3 linked regions of the Arabidopsis thaliana genome follow. The protein of the gene in region 3 interacts with the protein of the main gene of each other region in a pairwise test. Each region holds a gene or a part of one and is shown on either strand. Other genes may lie near its edges.

The links. Proteins that work in one complex are often made in the same cells at the same time.
Region 1: the proteins of AT5G01160 (region 3) and HLS1 interact in a two-hybrid assay, tested with the Arabidopsis thaliana proteins (one large-scale study listed by BioGRID).
Region 2: the proteins of AT5G01160 (region 3) and HDG2 interact in a two-hybrid assay, tested with the Arabidopsis thaliana proteins (one large-scale study listed by BioGRID).

The regions. Positions count from the first base shown.
Region 1 is NC_003075.7:17,656,894-17,661,418, forward strand, and holds HLS1 (Acyl-CoA N-acyltransferases (NAT) superfamily protein), read left to right. Parts: upstream 1-1,700; 5' UTR 1,701-2,038; coding exon 2,039-2,200; intron 2,201-2,488; exon of another isoform or gene 2,489-2,541; coding exon 2,542-2,717; intron 2,718-2,797; coding exon 2,798-3,671; 3' UTR 3,672-3,985; downstream 3,986-4,525. UniProt on the Arabidopsis thaliana protein: Ethylene-responsive N-acetyltransferase required for differential cell elongation in the hypocotyl. Regulates apical hook formation of dark-grown seedlings. May control differential cell growth by regulating auxin activity.
Region 2 is NC_003070.9:1,512,861-1,520,521, reverse strand, and holds HDG2 (homeodomain GLABROUS 2), read left to right. Parts: upstream 1-1,621; 5' UTR 1,622-1,952; intron 1,953-2,295; 5' UTR 2,296-2,341; exon of another isoform or gene 2,342-3,464; 5' UTR 3,465-3,497; coding exon 3,498-3,739; intron 3,740-3,817; coding exon 3,818-3,935; intron 3,936-4,512; coding exon 4,513-4,701; intron 4,702-5,070; coding exon 5,071-5,484; intron 5,485-5,558; coding exon 5,559-5,660; intron 5,661-5,731; coding exon 5,732-5,932; intron 5,933-5,959; exon of another isoform or gene 5,960-5,997; coding exon 5,998-6,172; exon of another isoform or gene 6,173-6,256; coding exon 6,257-6,528; exon of another isoform or gene 6,529-6,601; coding exon 6,602-6,697; coding exon of another isoform or gene 6,698-6,718; exon of another isoform or gene 6,719-6,777; coding exon 6,778-7,134; 3' UTR 7,135-7,148; exon of another isoform or gene 7,149-7,222; intron 7,223-7,228; 3' UTR 7,229-7,621; downstream 7,622-7,661. UniProt on the Arabidopsis thaliana protein: Probable transcription factor. Involved, together with PDF2, in the regulation of flower organs development by promoting the expression of APETALA 3 (AP3) in the epidermis and internal cell layers of developing flowers.
Region 3 is NC_003076.8:51,828-56,557, reverse strand, and holds AT5G01160 (RING/U-box superfamily protein), read right to left. Parts: upstream 2,703-4,730; 5' UTR 2,362-2,702; exon of another isoform or gene 2,284-2,361; 5' UTR 2,279-2,283; coding exon 2,024-2,278; intron 1,902-2,023; coding exon 1,843-1,901; intron 1,600-1,842; coding exon 831-1,599; 3' UTR 506-830; downstream 1-505. Other genes in the region: AT5G01150 (hypothetical protein (DUF674)), read right to left, coding at 2,909-3,046, 3,119-3,850, 3,935-4,570. UniProt on the Arabidopsis thaliana protein: Probable E3 ubiquitin-protein ligase which is a subunit of the N6-methyltransferase complex, a multiprotein complex that mediates N6-methyladenosine (m6A) methylation at the 5'-[AG]GAC-3' consensus sites of some mRNAs.

The DNA.
Region 1 (4,525 bases), on a different chromosome or scaffold from region 3:
CTCGACAATGTCATAATCAGTACAAAATAAATCACCTACCAACCTGAACTATATGTTATATATTTTGAGGGGCCACGTCAAGTGTGCCGTTTATTTTTGTGTTTATGATTGTTTAATATTTGTGCGTGTGATGGTGTTTCTTGCTTAGTTTCCACTTAATACACAATCAAATATCAAGTGGAACTATTTATGAAAATTGTTCTTCGAGAAGAATTCTGACCCTAAAAGGTCATTTGAGGGCTTGAGGCTTATTGTTTCCAAATTACACCAGTAAACAAGGGTTTTTTTTTGTCAACAAAGATTATTGTAATTCGAATTTCGTCTACAATAAAACAAATTTTCTTACTAAAACAAAACAATTAGCTGACGGTTGATATTTCGGCTTTTGAGTTTAATTAACTAATTGGTGATTATGTTGATGATCTTTCACACCTAATGAAGTGTCATGTATATGTATATATGTATATACTTATGTATATATAAAACGTACATATAATCATTTGTCATATATATCATCATGTATTGCATGACTAAACTACCCTTAAAAGAGGAATACGATAGACATGACCTTTAGGAATTTGTTTTTTTCTTCTAAATGGATTCCTTCGCTTCTTTTTAGCCTCGTAGTGAATTTGAACATTGCAGTTATTTCTAGTAAGATATTTTTTCTGTATTTTTCGGAAAATGTTAAAAACTAATTATACACAATTTACTTTCTCTCTCAACTCTTATTTTACGTTACTGTTTTTTTTTTCCTCTTGCAAAATTAGAGCTGCTGTATTTACATTTACTAGTAATTTGGTAGATAGACAGTTAATGTAGTATATAGATGGGGTTGAGGGCAAATGATTACTTGGGAGATGGTGCAATGCATCAGAGTGATGATGTGGAATTTAATAAGTGTGAATTTATGGGCAAAGGAAGGGAACTAGTAGTAGAAAGGGAAATAAATACAGTACAAGTAAGAGGAAAACGAAAAGAGAGATAGAAACCATAATAATGAGTTAACGCAGACATAGCCGCCATTTTCAACTTCTCACTCCCACTTACAACTTCTCCTTCTGGGCAAGTTTTCCACATCAATGCTCGTCTTAATCACCATTAATCTCTACTCATCATTAATACGTTGAAGCCCACTATTTCAAAATTTACTAGGAGTATTTATTCGTGAAAAACATTTAAATGTCCCTAATTATAAGAGATTTAATTTCATATTTATTGTATTAAAGAGAATTTACATTAGCTGTCAAAAAAAAAAAAAAAAGAGAATTAACATTATTTTACAGAACATAAAATTTTGAAAATAGATAGCGCCACTGCATGTAAGAACATACAAATTTCTTTTTTTCAACAAAATCTATTTATATTTCTTCTTTTTTTGAACATTATGTGTAGTTTGTAGTAAACTAAAAAGTGTGACCAACACAATTTAAATCATTCGATTTTGTAGCAAAAACATTTTTGTTCCAATTTCCAAGCAGCAAATATGGTAGGAATATAAATTCTTTACTATTTTTCCTCTTAACACATAAAAGTAAAAAAAGCATTCAATGATCAGTTAAAATCTGGTTAGAATTCTACCTTATCATTTAGAACTAGCTAATATTTAAATTCATATATACAAAAAATAAAATGGGAACTGTAGAGACTAGAGACTATAAATAGAGGATTGAGAAGAAGAACTTTTAAAGCTCTATCAATCATGAACTACTCGCCTTCTCCAACTTTTAAAACTCATCATAAATAGTAAAAAAGTAGCCGGAAAAATAAAATAAAAAGTCTATTTCTCTTTCCTTTAAAATCCAAATCCTATAAACTCATAGCTTTCTCTGTTCTTTACTTATACCTCACGTTATACATATATATAGAGTTTCTATAAATGCTTCTCTTTCCTCTCGAACAAATCTTCCTCACTTCTCTCATTTCCACACTCACCTTCCTCTCTATATATTAAACCCTATCTACTTAACTCTTCTTCTAACTCTAATCTCTCTCTCTATTTACTCTGCTTCTGTTCTCACTCTGAAAGAACCAAAACATGACGGTGGTTAGAGAGTACGACCCGACCCGAGACTTAGTCGGCGTGGAGGACGTGGAACGACGGTGTGAAGTCGGACCAAGCGGCAAGCTTTCTCTTTTCACCGACCTTTTGGGTGACCCGATTTGTAGAATCCGACATTCACCTTCCTATCTCATGCTGGTAATAACATGTTTCACAATCTTTTATCTTCTTTTACTTGTATGTCTCTTCAAAAACTCTGTTTGTTTTTTGAACCTAGAAGTAGAAAACATAGAACACCAACTTCTCAACCTTTGGTTAATCCAAAAAACCCATTTTCCATAAACAATTAAAGTTCGGTTCTTTTTTTGGTATCATTTCTATTTTTTTCCGATTCTTGATAAGATCAAAAGACTCATCATTTATATTATTTTTTGCAACCAAATGATACCCGAGTAACTATAACTAATAAAGTTTCCTCTTTATTATAAAAGGTTAAAAACATATAATAACGGAAAATTTAAATTATGGGACTGTAACAGGTGGCTGAGATGGGTACGGAGAAGAAGGAGATAGTGGGCATGATTAGAGGATGTATCAAAACCGTTACATGTGGCCAAAAACTCGATTTAAATCACAAATCTCAAAACGATGTCGTTAAGCCTCTTTACACTAAACTCGCTTACGTCTTGGGCCTTCGCGTCTCTCCTTTTCACAGGTACCCTTCCGTTTTCCTCCCACTCATAATCACACGCTATTATAGATTTTGGTTATCTAAACTAGTTTTGGTTTTTGCAGGAGACAAGGGATTGGGTTTAAGCTCGTGAAGATGATGGAGGAATGGTTTAGACAAAACGGAGCTGAGTATTCGTATATTGCAACTGAGAACGATAATCAAGCTTCTGTGAATTTGTTCACCGGGAAATGTGGTTATTCGGAGTTTCGTACACCGTCGATTTTGGTTAACCCGGTTTACGCTCATCGAGTTAATGTTTCGCGGCGAGTCACGGTTATCAAGTTAGAGCCGGTTGATGCTGAGACGTTGTACCGAATCCGGTTTAGCACAACAGAGTTTTTCCCGCGGGATATTGATTCGGTACTTAATAACAAACTCTCGCTTGGGACTTTCGTCGCGGTGCCACGTGGAAGCTGTTATGGATCCGGGTCTGGATCATGGCCCGGTTCGGCTAAATTCCTCGAATATCCACCCGAGTCATGGGCCGTATTAAGCGTGTGGAATTGTAAAGACTCGTTTCTGTTAGAAGTACGTGGAGCGTCGAGATTGAGACGTGTGGTGGCTAAAACGACGCGAGTAGTTGATAAAACGTTGCCGTTTCTGAAACTACCTTCGATACCGTCCGTTTTCGAACCTTTTGGACTTCATTTTATGTATGGAATCGGAGGAGAAGGTCCACGCGCGGTGAAGATGGTGAAATCCTTGTGTGCTCACGCGCATAACTTGGCTAAGGCAGGTGGTTGTGGTGTCGTGGCGGCGGAAGTTGCCGGAGAAGACCCGTTGCGGCGAGGAATACCACATTGGAAAGTGCTATCGTGTGACGAGGATCTTTGGTGTATAAAGCGGCTTGGAGATGACTATAGTGATGGTGTTGTTGGTGATTGGACTAAATCGCCACCTGGCGTTTCCATTTTTGTAGACCCTAGAGAATTTTAAAACTTTTTTTTTAACTCTATAATATATATTCTCTATTAACCACTTGATGTTAAATTAGGGGTTTTCTTCTAAGTTTATAGATTTTCTTGTTTTAGAATTAATCTTTTTTTTTAGGTAACTTTTTTTGCTTTTTGTTTTGTTTTGTTTTGTTTTTGTGGGTGTTATAAATTAGTGGTAAGAGGTAATATCTCCTACTTTTGGGTTTGTGTCTTCTTGTCTTGTAAATGGATCTAGCTTTTTAAGATACTTTTTCTTTGTGGCCAAACCAAAACGCCGACCTGATTATTATTTCCAAGTAGATAAAATTTCATGAACGCACTGATACGTATAATGATGCAATTTGTGTTAAGACGATACTTTGGAGATAAAATTACAATTATGACAATGATAGAAAATGTTACCAATAACGATTAGCATTATCGTGTGTGCCATCAAGTATAAACTAAGAGAAAGACGCACATTTTCTTAAGAGTAAATAAAATATTATGTATATTAGTTTAGTAGTTCTTTTTAGGTGGAGGATTTTGGTTCTTAGTACTTTGCTAATTCGAGTTTGATCATTGATATTTGATAGTGATTGGAGAATAAAAACTTCTTTTGATATCGCTAATCTTACGTGTAAATGACATGAATATCAATGTCATGGACCACACTTTTTCCCCCAAATATGGTCCAAAGATGTTCAACTGATAGATTTATATGTTTCTTTTGTTGGTTTGCGGTAGCAAAAGCTATATCATGATGAAACCTTTGAATCGGGTTTGAGAACGTGTCCTTGTCCGAAAGAGGTATTGTCGAGTCGAGAGCACCGATCGAGTCAGGGAAATTGTTTATACTATAAGGTCTTGACCATC
Region 2 (7,661 bases), on a different chromosome or scaffold from region 3:
CCGTCTTATGGCCCATATACGAAGCCCAGAAACAAAAAAAAACTACGATCTTGAATTTATTACAAAAGCATCCATTTTTTCAACAGAAGAATTCCATTTTGAATCTCAGATTTGATCATATTGGCAGAAAAAACACTAATTGAAATAAACTAAAAGTTTGACAAAAAAAAGAAATAAACTAAAAATAAATATTTGAGACTTACGAGGATGAAACAAACTTAAAATGTGAATAGTATTGTAGCAATTCTTTTTTGAAATAATTAACTTTTAGTGATGTAGCAGGAAAAAAGAAAAAACTAAAAAAAAAAAAAAAAAAAAAAGAAAAAACTAAAATGTTAGGCGTTGAATTACTAGTTTTTTTTAGTAGGAGAGTACGAAGAAGGAAGAGGAGGTTAAAGTGCAAGAGAGGCATGAGAGCAGTAAATGGCCTAAAGCCCATGCAGCCTCTGTGTACACATTTAATGCGTCGAAACTATTCGCCACCCTATCGCATACGTACGTACGTATAACTCCATCTATATATCTGTACCTACATATATACAGTAAAAATCAGAAATAAGTTGGGTTATTGTTTTTTTATATATAGTTATTTTAAAGAATCTAGGTAAAGTATAAACTTACTGAAAAGAAAAACTTGAGTGTTAAAGCTATAGCTATAAGGACTTTAAAAAAAAAAACAAAGCTTAAGAACTAGGTAATTAAATACGCAGTATATTTCTCTATATATTCGCGTGATAAATTAAGATGAATGCATGGCTTTTACAAATTATCACCTTTTTAATGGGTGATCCGTATTTTAAATAGCTTAATTGCACGTTATAGTTATAAATGCTTGGGCCACAAAGTAATTAATATTTCTAGGCATGTAAAATGAAGTCTTACTGTGAAAAAAGTGATATTTCATTGACTTCCTTAAATTGAAAAAACAATTGTTTCGTAAACAAAACTCAAAATTAAGGTGATGATTTTTAGATTTTCTTCTTTTAAATGAAATAAAATAAATACATCACTCAATCAACTTCTGTCTGACTAACAATAATACAACCTAAACTTCTATAATATTTAAGAAAATGCCATGTGGAAGAAGAATCATGAAATTTTCCTTCTTTACAATTAAATTTATAACAAAGATATGAAATAATAATAAAATAAAATAGTTAAAAATATAATAGTCATATTTTTTGAAAGTAAAAATTAAATTTATATCTCATAAAGATAAATATTAACTATAACAAGTCATTGAATTTTAGTTAAAAAACTATATAATTTTTTTCCATATTATAAATAATCTAAGAGTATTAAAATTTCAGAAAATTACTTTTAAAATTGTATCCTTGACAAATGGGGACTATTGTCTAACTTTTTCTGTAAATGGAGAACTGTATTAAAGCAAATTTCAATATAGTTAAATCTTTTTTTAATATAGTTAATTTTGTTAAGTGGTGATTTATTGCATATGCATAAGTTATGAATAATGCTAATGATTTTTTAAAAATAACTACATATCTAATAGATAAATGTAAGTCTCATAGGCTCATAGACCGTTAGCCGTCATTCCTCACCACATTATAATATTTTAAATAAATAAAAAATAAAATTATTTTAGGTTGACATTGTATATAAGATGAAAAACAACACATAATTTTGTAACATAAATAAAATAAATTGTAACATATCTCTCTCTCTCTATATATATATAAGCGTGTAGGATAATTAAGTGTCCCTCTCGCACCATTTAATTTCATTGCACCCTCTCAATTCTCTCTGTCATTACTCTCTCATCTCTCTTCCTCCAAGATTTGCACCTACCTTTCAAACCTTTTGCTCGCCAACAAAACCGCGCTTCACAAAACCATCAGCGGTTTTCCGAGAAACAAATCTCAGACCAGACACCGCTCTACTCTTCTCTCTCTCTCCCTCTAGGGTTTCGTCGCTTCTTCCTATATCCCAGTGTATGTCTCGAAAACCTCATCATTTCTGCTGTTTTCTTTATTTTATCCATTAATTCATGTACACAAATTTATTTGTTTAAAGTATCATTGGATCCATTACACTTCAGTTTTCTTAGCATCTTTATAAAACTCTCACTTTCATGATGTTTTTTTTTTATAATTTAATATATCCTGTATGTTGAATTTTCAGTTAGTCATCTATATTTTGTCTTAAATTTTGCCTTCTTTAGCATTAATTAATTGATTTCTTGCCTCTAATATCTTTCATTCCTCTCCTAATTTGCTTTCTGACTTTCTGATTTATTGTATTCTTCTTTAAATAATCTTATCAATTTCTGCATAGTCAGAGATGAAACCTTCAAGAAAACAATAAAGAGGAAAGATTAAAGGTTAGTATTCCCTTGCCTACCAAAAAAAACAGAAAGGTTTGTATTCTCTTCGTATATCCTTATTTTCATTATACGTTTGGTTTTATATATAAACACGTGTATATACTTTATAGTAGTAGTATACATTTACATATTAATGTGTGTAATAAAAACGTTTAAATACGATGATGATGATAAGAAATAGCTGGAAAAAATTAATACATCACCCAGGCCTTATGTCACGTTGGTTGTAAGTTGTATAATAACTATATGTTGGTCCGTCGCACAGGTGCACAGATATAATACTATTTTTTTCATTTCAATTTTTTTTTCTTTCTTAATCGCCAAATAGTAGTTTACACTTTTTCCTGAAGAGTTTTTATTTTTTGAAAATCTACTAATGATTATATTTAATTAAATTTTGTTTTGTTCTCACGAAAATATTGTTTTTTTAATAAACAGGATAGAGTTGGGAATTTATTTGTACCTACTTTTTCCCATTTTATTTGCTTTGAACAAATGAGTCCAACATTTCTCTTTTCGTCTTCTCTTTCCTATCCCATCTAAATCAAAACTGATCAAAATACCTCGAAATTTTAAATTAAATCACCATCCATCAAAGCTATTATAGTGTAGAAATTTTAAAGTTTTTTCTTTGGACAACAATTGATTTCCATCTACACTACATATGATATGACTCTTGAATCAATCATAGTTTTTATTTCAGTCTGCTGATTAGTTTTTTTCTTTTCTTTTAAAAGGGTAAAAAATCGGTAGTTTCGAATAATTTTGAGTATGTGAAAATTCATTATTTTTGGGTTGGTTATTCAATAACAAATTAATTTGTGATTGTGATGTCTTTTTTATGCAAGGCTCTTTTTTCTTGCTTTCAATTAGTGGGTCCTTTGTTTCCTACAATCATCTCCAATTCTTCTGTTTGCTTATATCATTTTGTATGATCTTCAAGAAGAAAGATAAACGACTCCGAAGAAAGATTTAAGTTATTGTTGTTCATACAAAAAGAAGGTTGTAAAGTTGTTGACGTGGACAAAAGTATTGCCATATTTTTCCAGCCTCGAAGAAATTTCCCTTCTTCTTCAAACCCTAAATTTTGACAAAACTCTCTACTTTTTTTTGCTTCTAGGGTTTGCTTTCAGTTTCCGGAGTATAAGAAAAGATGTTCGAGCCAAATATGCTGCTTGCGGCTATGAACAACGCAGACAGCAATAACCACAACTACAACCATGAAGACAACAATAATGAAGGATTTCTTCGGGACGATGAATTCGACAGTCCGAATACTAAATCGGGAAGTGAGAATCAAGAAGGAGGATCAGGAAACGACCAAGATCCTCTTCATCCTAACAAGAAGAAACGATATCATCGACACACCCAACTTCAGATCCAGGAGATGGAAGCGTATGTGTTTAACTTACTCACTTACTTCAATTTTCTTGTGTGTTTTTTGACAATTCTTTTGTTTTGGTTGTTAAATAGGTTCTTCAAAGAGTGTCCTCACCCAGATGACAAGCAAAGGAAACAGCTAAGCCGTGAATTGAATTTGGAACCTCTTCAGGTCAAATTCTGGTTCCAAAACAAACGTACCCAAATGAAGGTATACTTTTTATATTATGAACATATATACATTAGTTAATGGATCTATATATATTAGAGAAAATATATATACTTGTTAATTAAATTGTTATTTCATTCATATTAAGTCTTGTATATATACATTGAAGGGCTTATCTTTATACTTAAGAACATTTTGGGTGGCTGGTGTTTTCTTTCAGAATGAATTCATTGACTTTTGGCAGATTTTAGATCTAGTTGAGACACTTTGACTTAAAATTTCTTACTTATTTTTTTTTTCAATTGAAAAGTTGTTCCTTTGGCAGAACTATATATTTGGCGGATCAAGCTATAGAAAATTGTTTGGTTGTAACAACATTGCCTATTTATTATCTTAGTTAGAGCCATATATAATCTATAGATTGAAACGTTTTGGACACATATGCTTACGTTATGCAAATACGGTGAAACACATAACGTGTACACGAGTGTTTTATTTGAAACATACACTTTTCCTCTTTTTAAGTAAAATCCTTTGTTCCTTCGTTTTACCCAAATTAGAAATAAATCACTTGTATAAAACTTTAGAGATAACCGGAATATAAGTTTTATTTGCGCAGAATCATCACGAGCGGCATGAGAACTCACATCTTCGGGCGGAGAACGAAAAGCTTCGAAACGACAACCTAAGATATCGAGAGGCTCTTGCAAATGCTTCGTGTCCTAATTGTGGTGGTCCAACAGCTATCGGAGAAATGTCATTCGACGAACACCAACTCCGTCTCGAAAATGCTCGATTAAGGGAAGAGGTATGAGAATCAACTATTTTAAATGTTCAAATAATGTTAAGAGTTTTACACTTAAATGTTGTCAAGAAGATAAAATAAAAAATTAGAATTTGTTTTTATACCACTAATGTTATATCGCTTTCACAATAATCATTTCTTTCTTCATAAAATAAAAACTTTTATAGATTTGTATTGAAATTAGAGAATTTAAACATTTTTTTTTCATTGAAGAATAGAAAAAATTATGATATTAAATTGAGATACTAAAACGATATTTTTGGAACTGTAAGGAGTAGTAGTACATAATAACAACATTACTCAACGTTTCTTCTTGTGACCAAACTTTGAAAACCACAAGGATCAATAATCTTTCTTATTTGTCTGTTTTAGATCGACCGTATATCCGCAATCGCAGCTAAATACGTAGGCAAGCCAGTCTCAAACTATCCACTTATGTCTCCTCCTCCTCTTCCTCCACGTCCACTAGAACTCGCCATGGGAAATATTGGAGGAGAAGCTTATGGAAACAATCCAAACGATCTCCTTAAGTCCATCACTGCACCAACAGAATCTGACAAACCTGTCATCATCGACTTATCCGTGGCTGCAATGGAAGAGCTCATGAGGATGGTTCAAGTAGACGAGCCTCTGTGGAAGAGTTTGGTTTTAGACGAAGAAGAATATGCAAGGACCTTTCCTAGAGGGATCGGACCTAGACCGGCTGGATATAGATCAGAAGCTTCGCGAGAAAGCGCGGTTGTGATCATGAATCATGTTAACATCGTTGAGATTCTCATGGATGTGGTAATTAACATTTTCATTTTACTTAAAAGCAATCTTCTCTGTTTAGTTTCAACAACATTGATATGATGTTGCAGAATCAATGGTCGACGATTTTCGCGGGGATGGTTTCTAGAGCAATGACATTAGCGGTTTTATCGACAGGAGTTGCAGGAAACTATAATGGAGCTCTTCAAGTGGTAATTTTTTTTGCTTTTATTCTGTAAAAATTAAATTTCAAACTGAAATAACCACTCTGTTTTGCTTGCAGATGAGTGCAGAGTTTCAAGTTCCATCTCCATTAGTCCCAACACGTGAAACCTATTTCGCACGTTACTGTAAACAACAAGGAGATGGTTCGTGGGCGGTTGTCGATATTTCGTTGGATAGTCTCCAACCAAATCCCCCGGCTAGATGCAGGCGGCGAGCTTCAGGATGTTTGATTCAAGAATTGCCAAATGGATATTCTAAGGTAATATAATAAAAACATTAGGTTATACAAAATGTTTACTTAAGTAGAGAGAATTAATGTAACAGGTGACTTGGGTGGAGCATGTGGAAGTTGATGACAGAGGAGTTCATAACTTATACAAACACATGGTTAGTACTGGTCATGCCTTTGGTGCTAAACGCTGGGTAGCCATTCTTGACCGCCAATGCGAGCGGTTAGCTAGTGTCATGGCTACAAACATTTCCTCTGGAGAAGTTGGCGGTATAACCTACTGTTTGTTTCATAAACAGTTTTCATAATCAGAGTCAGAGTCAGAATCACAGTTCTATATTAATGAATATGCAGTGATAACCAACCAAGAAGGGAGGAGGAGTATGCTGAAATTGGCAGAGCGGATGGTTATAAGCTTTTGTGCAGGAGTGAGTGCTTCAACCGCTCACACGTGGACTACATTGTCCGGTACAGGAGCTGAAGATGTTAGAGTGATGACTAGGAAGAGTGTGGATGATCCAGGAAGGCCTCCTGGTATTGTTCTTAGTGCAGCCACTTCTTTTTGGATCCCTGTTCCTCCAAAGCGAGTCTTTGACTTCCTCAGAGACGAGAATTCAAGAAATGAGGTAACTATTTTAGTTACTACGCTCTCTTGTTCTGTTTTGGACAGAGTTTTGATGTTTTTGTGAGATTTTGCAGTGGGATATTCTGTCTAATGGAGGAGTTGTGCAAGAAATGGCACATATTGCTAACGGGAGGGATACCGGAAACTGTGTTTCTCTTCTTCGGGTAAATGTGAGTTACACCGGGTTTTGAACTATTGTTATAATCATCTGATCCTAGCTAAGAGTTTTCAATCTTTCTTTATGTCACAGAGTGCAAACTCTAGCCAGAGCAATATGCTGATCCTACAAGAGAGCTGCACTGATCCTACAGCTTCCTTTGTGATCTATGCTCCAGTCGATATTGTAGCTATGAACATAGTGCTTAATGGAGGTGATCCAGACTATGTGGCTCTGCTTCCATCAGGTTTTGCTATTCTTCCTGATGGTAATGCCAATAGTGGAGCCCCTGGAGGAGATGGAGGGTCGCTCTTGACTGTTGCTTTTCAGATTCTGGTTGACTCAGTTCCTACGGCTAAGCTGTCTCTTGGCTCTGTTGCAACTGTCAACAATCTAATAGCTTGCACTGTTGAGAGAATCAAAGCTTCAATGTCTTGTGAGACTGCTTGAAAACCATCCATTAGGTACTACTTTCACTAAATATATTCTTCTCGCTTTTACGCCATTATATGATGTAATCATATTTTTCTTCTTCTTTCTGCAGGAAATAACAAAATGGTGATGATGGAAAAAAGAGAGAGATTTCAGTTTGAGAAAAGCGGAGGAGTCAAGATCGAACCTCACAAGAGAATACCATTGAGTGTTTGTTAGTGTTAAGTTTTGGTCTGCTTATTTGATGAAACTAAGCAGTGAAAAACTTTTTACTTGAAAGTGAATATGTAGATGGTTTTACGAGGTTCGGGAATTTGACTTCCCCTGTCACATACTGAATTAGACAAAAACAAAAACTAGGTTAGAAAGAATGCTTTCGGATTTCTTTTTGTGTTACAGTTACTGTTTTTCTTTCCTTCTTGTGGTTAGATGGACCATCATCAGGAATTTGGAGTTTGTCTTTCTTTTGTATAAATATCTTATACAAGTATTTTGGTACTTTTGTAAGCTTATGTGAGTTTGTCTAGGGGAAAGCTCACACTTTT
Region 3 (4,730 bases):
TCATGAAAATTACGACAATGATTATAGCTTTTACATTTTGAAAATTTATATGGGGATCGTAATAATTCATAGAAAACATGGGAAAAAGTGTCTTAGATCTCAGTTTTCTTCTATTCTCATAATGTGAAATAATGGTGTCTTGCAAATATTGTTATGTATCATTATGGTTCATAATTGGAGAATCCATTTGAAACGAAATTTCTCATAGCCACACACTTATCAATAACTGGTTCAGTTCAATTCACATGATTTCTAGTTTAAAACTAACAAATATGAATAAGTTATTTGATAATTTTATACTTAACTAGCTAATAGTATATTTTCGTGTGTGTTTATGCTAGAGAATAAATGCTTACAGAAATTTGAACTTGGTGCTGAATAGTGAATACATATGTAGAGTGAAGGAATCCCAATAAAGAGACTGTGAAATATTGTCTGTAAGCATAGCTGTGCCTAAGATTAGTGAGATCATCGGCGGTGTTTAGAAAAAATCTCAACTCATATAATAACCATCATCATCATCCTCCCAAAACAGTAAAGAAAAAGAGCTAAAAACCAAAATATCAATCTTAGTTCTTTCTTTATCACAGTGACACAGTGGGTGCAATCTACGATGGTTGTTCCTATAAAATGGTGTAAAACCTTTGGTTCAACCCAAATCAGTTTGGTTTTTCCGATGGAATTTTTGGCACGGTTTTGGCTCGGTTGAAATTGGGTTTACTCGAATTACATGTTAGACCAACAACAAACGACACAGTTTTTAGAAACAAAAGTACTTGAAACTTTCAAACGACGAGTTTAACATTGCACAAATTCAAACTAGACTACTCTTACTCCTGCCCAAAGCCATCACGGTTCTCTTGTGGCCACCCAAAACTTTGACCGTCTCTACCCCGGTTAACCTGCTGGGTCGTGTGAGGCGGTGCCATTCCGGGATTCCATGATGGAGGAGGATACGATCCTTGGAAATTCAGATTCGTCATTGGTGAAGGCGGGGGATACCCGAGCAATGAACTTTGTTCTGATCCGCCGCTCTCTGTTCTTGTCATCTCGTACTGAGCACCGTTAAAGAATTGTTGAGATGATCCACTCTCTGTTGTTGGATACGAAGGAAAACCAAACTGCTGTGGTAAACCCGGGTTTTGATTCATTGGAACGGGCAAGCTGGGCGGTTGCATAAGATTCATAGGCTGGGGGTAGTCTGGGAACCGGATTCCTGGTTTAGGACTAGCGGTTTCGAATCCAGGAGGGCGAGAGTTATCGCTATCTGGAGGGTAATTCTGGACTTGACTAAATCCAGACTGTGACTTTGCAAATGACGCCGACCTGTTTAGTTCACGGGATTGTTGCAGCTGGGATCTTAAAGGAGCTCGCAAGGTGGATTCTGAAGCTGAAGACTGCTGCATTGTGCTCTGAACATCTGACTGGTTACCATCTTCTTTCTCTGCATCGGCTTGTAATAGGCTTCCATGGAGGTCATGGACATGGGCTTCAAAGTCAAGTTTCTTCAGGAAAGACCTAAGACAATGAGGAGCTGCACAGATGAAGATCCCTTCCATCATCTTGATTGTTTGAATCTTCTGAATCCGCTCATCACATCTGTGCAGTAATCACACACACAAGAGACAACAAGATTTCAGTCTGATAATCGCTACGCCTAGTAAATCTTAAAATGTCTCTGTAGATTACTAAACAATCTAGAATATCTCTATCAAAGCTTCTAATGAAATTCGAAGCCTAGTTCAAACTATGATAATCCTGCGTCTCTGTAGATTACCAAACAATCTAAAGTATCTCTATCAAAGCTTCTAATGAAATTCGATGAGAGTTAAAGATGGTTACAGATAGCAGATGGAATCACTGCGAGCACATTCAAGGCAAAAGGCATGATCACAAGGAATCTGCAAAACCAAAACAAAACAAAAAAAGTTTCAATCACATATAGAAGAAGAGCCCCCTTAAAAAAACTCTTTAAGGCAAATCAATATAGCCATAAACCAATGAAGGAAGCGAAGTTTTTTACCAGACGACCATAGATTGCAATCGGAAAATCGCAACGAACGCAGAAGTGAACTCTCTCGCCTAGCTGACGGCGAGAACGACGACCGACGGGCTTGATTACGGTGGTGGGAGTCACGGAACCGATTCCTTTCGCAACAGGAAGATCGGCGAGGACGAGATGGTCGGGACAGGCTACAGTAACCGTCTCCGTCGGAGAAGGCCTCGCACCATTTCCAGTTTCCGTCGGGGAATCCCTCCGAAGACGAATTTGAAGCATTGTCGCTGTAAAAGTTACATGAACGGAACCCTAAGAAATACAAATCAAAAGAAAGAATAGGAATCAAAAGCTTCTCTAGTTACCAAGTTAAATCGGAGATTGAGATTTCAGATCTCTCTCTCTACTTCAGTTCTTCTCAAGAATCACGCCGGAGCCGAAAACGGCGAAGCAAATTTTGTTTTTGTGGGCAACGGAGGAGAATAGAAGCCTTCAAGTCTTCTGGCTGAGAAAGAGGGTTTCCATTAATTAACTTCAAGTCTTATTTTTTTCTGATCAACACTTCATATGTCTTCAACATTCCCAATTACTATATACCAACTGGATCTTATTATAAACTTTTGTATATGGATGCATTTTTTTTGGTAATGGTTGTATATTTCAGTCTTATCGTACTAGGAAATTCCAGATTTTAGGCTTGTTGCTTTATAAACTCAAAAAGATGTGCAAGTTTTTGCCTGCATTTAAAAAACCCTATTAAGATGAATTTCCATAAAACAATAATTTGATTAGTCTTACAAAGAAAGATAAGGCTTGGAAGAAAACATGAGGAATGTAATGTAGATTTTGCGGAATTCTAAAAACATAATCAACAATCGACTTAGAGTTCATTCTCACTAGCTTTCTATTTCTTCAAGTCTCTTCCTTCACTTTCTTTGAAACCGTGTCCCATAAATCAGTCTCCTCCTTCAGTTTCTTAGCAATCAAATTCCATAATGTCGTGCTCAAAGCAGAGGATGTCACCAAGGAAGCTCTCAACAAATCCAAAGCCTAATTCAAAATCAAGTGTCAGTCAAGTTCCTTTCAAGAATACAGGATCAAAAAGGGTATACAGAAACATACCTCTGCATTGCTGATACTAATTACTTGCACCTCTAGATCGTCTGCGTGACTCTGCAACTTCTTTAGTAAACAAACTGTGGAGCAGGAGTTCATAGATGTAATGGTCAGATCATCTAATACAGTACACTTTGTCGCTTTCTTCAAGAACCCCTGAGCAGACTTATCGCTGCCACGGGATTTGGGATCCTTCAAATCCACCCGAACGATTCTGTCTTTGCGGTAATAAGTAGTTCGATTACCGTTTGTAGTCAAACCATAGTTCATTTGCCTGTAATCGTAGAGCCTGTAACGGTAGTACACCGGAGGTTGTTGAGTGATAATACCAGGCAGTTGCATCTGGAAATTATAGAAAGACGGAAGTGCGCATGTGGAAGTTGACATTTGAGTCTCCTCATTTAAGTCCCTGAAGGTTCTACACATGTTTCCTATGCAACCTAAGGAGATACTGCTGCCAGAGATTTCCCATGCAGATTCAAGCGGGACAGCAATAAAAGAGAAAAGAAGCTCAACAAATTCCTCTCCGCATTCAACAAATAAAATCTTCATGTCCTGCTTCCTCACAAATGCTTTCAAAGTTACTACCTTTTCAGGTTCTGCTTCATCTTCTTTTTTCTCCAAACATGGACTTTGCGATTTGTAAAACTTCGTCGCACCTTGTGTAATCTTCTTGTTCAAGAAAATGTCCTTTAAGGGAGCATTTGAGGAGAATATACATCCCAGCAGAGTCAGTACCTAGTCCAAGATTCAGATATAGTAAGAGAGAACTAATAAAGTAATGATAACACAAACGCTTGAAGAATAAACTAACTAACATACCTCTTTCACACCAATATCAAGAAGCCTTTCACCGAGCTTACCAACATCAGCACAACCTAAGGATTTGAGCTTATTCAAGACAAGTTCAGTGGACTTGACTGACACTTCCAAGTCATCGGTTAAGACGAATGAACACCTACCGCTGACAAATACTCCATTATCATCATCTTGAAACCGGCCTAAATCTTGTTCCTCGTTTTCTAACTGAATCTCCTCGTTCATAAATTTTCCGCAACGACATTTAGAGGTGCTGAAATTACTGTACAAGCCGCAGTAACTTGAGCACTTAAAACACTTGATGTCCTCAGTAGGGTTTATGTTGAGCTTAAGCCTTTTGCACTGGAGGTCTTTCACACTCTTCGGATACACAAGCATCTGCTTACAAGCTTCAGTCTCAAAACAATCACTGCCCATGTCCACAACACTTCTATAGAGATTGTTAAAACAGCCCAGAGTTACTGGCTCAGATTTTCGATGATTCTCAAGCAATCTGACAATGGTTCCCATTGGAAGTGTCAGAAGGCTGAAGAGTACATCAACAAAATCCCTACAAGCTTCAGCCAAAACAACCTTGTTTTTCTCTTCATCAACAATAAGTCTCAAAGAAAACTTAGGCTCCTCACTACTTTTAGCCATTAGCGTAATAGATGAAAGAAAGACGAAAGCAAGATAGATGAGAAAACTTTTCTAAAACACTCAGAAACAGAAGCGACACGTTAAGAAACTGAAGCATCAACTCTCATTTTAAGAGGGTCTAAAGTCTGACATTGAATGAACAATAATAACGAGTCATAAA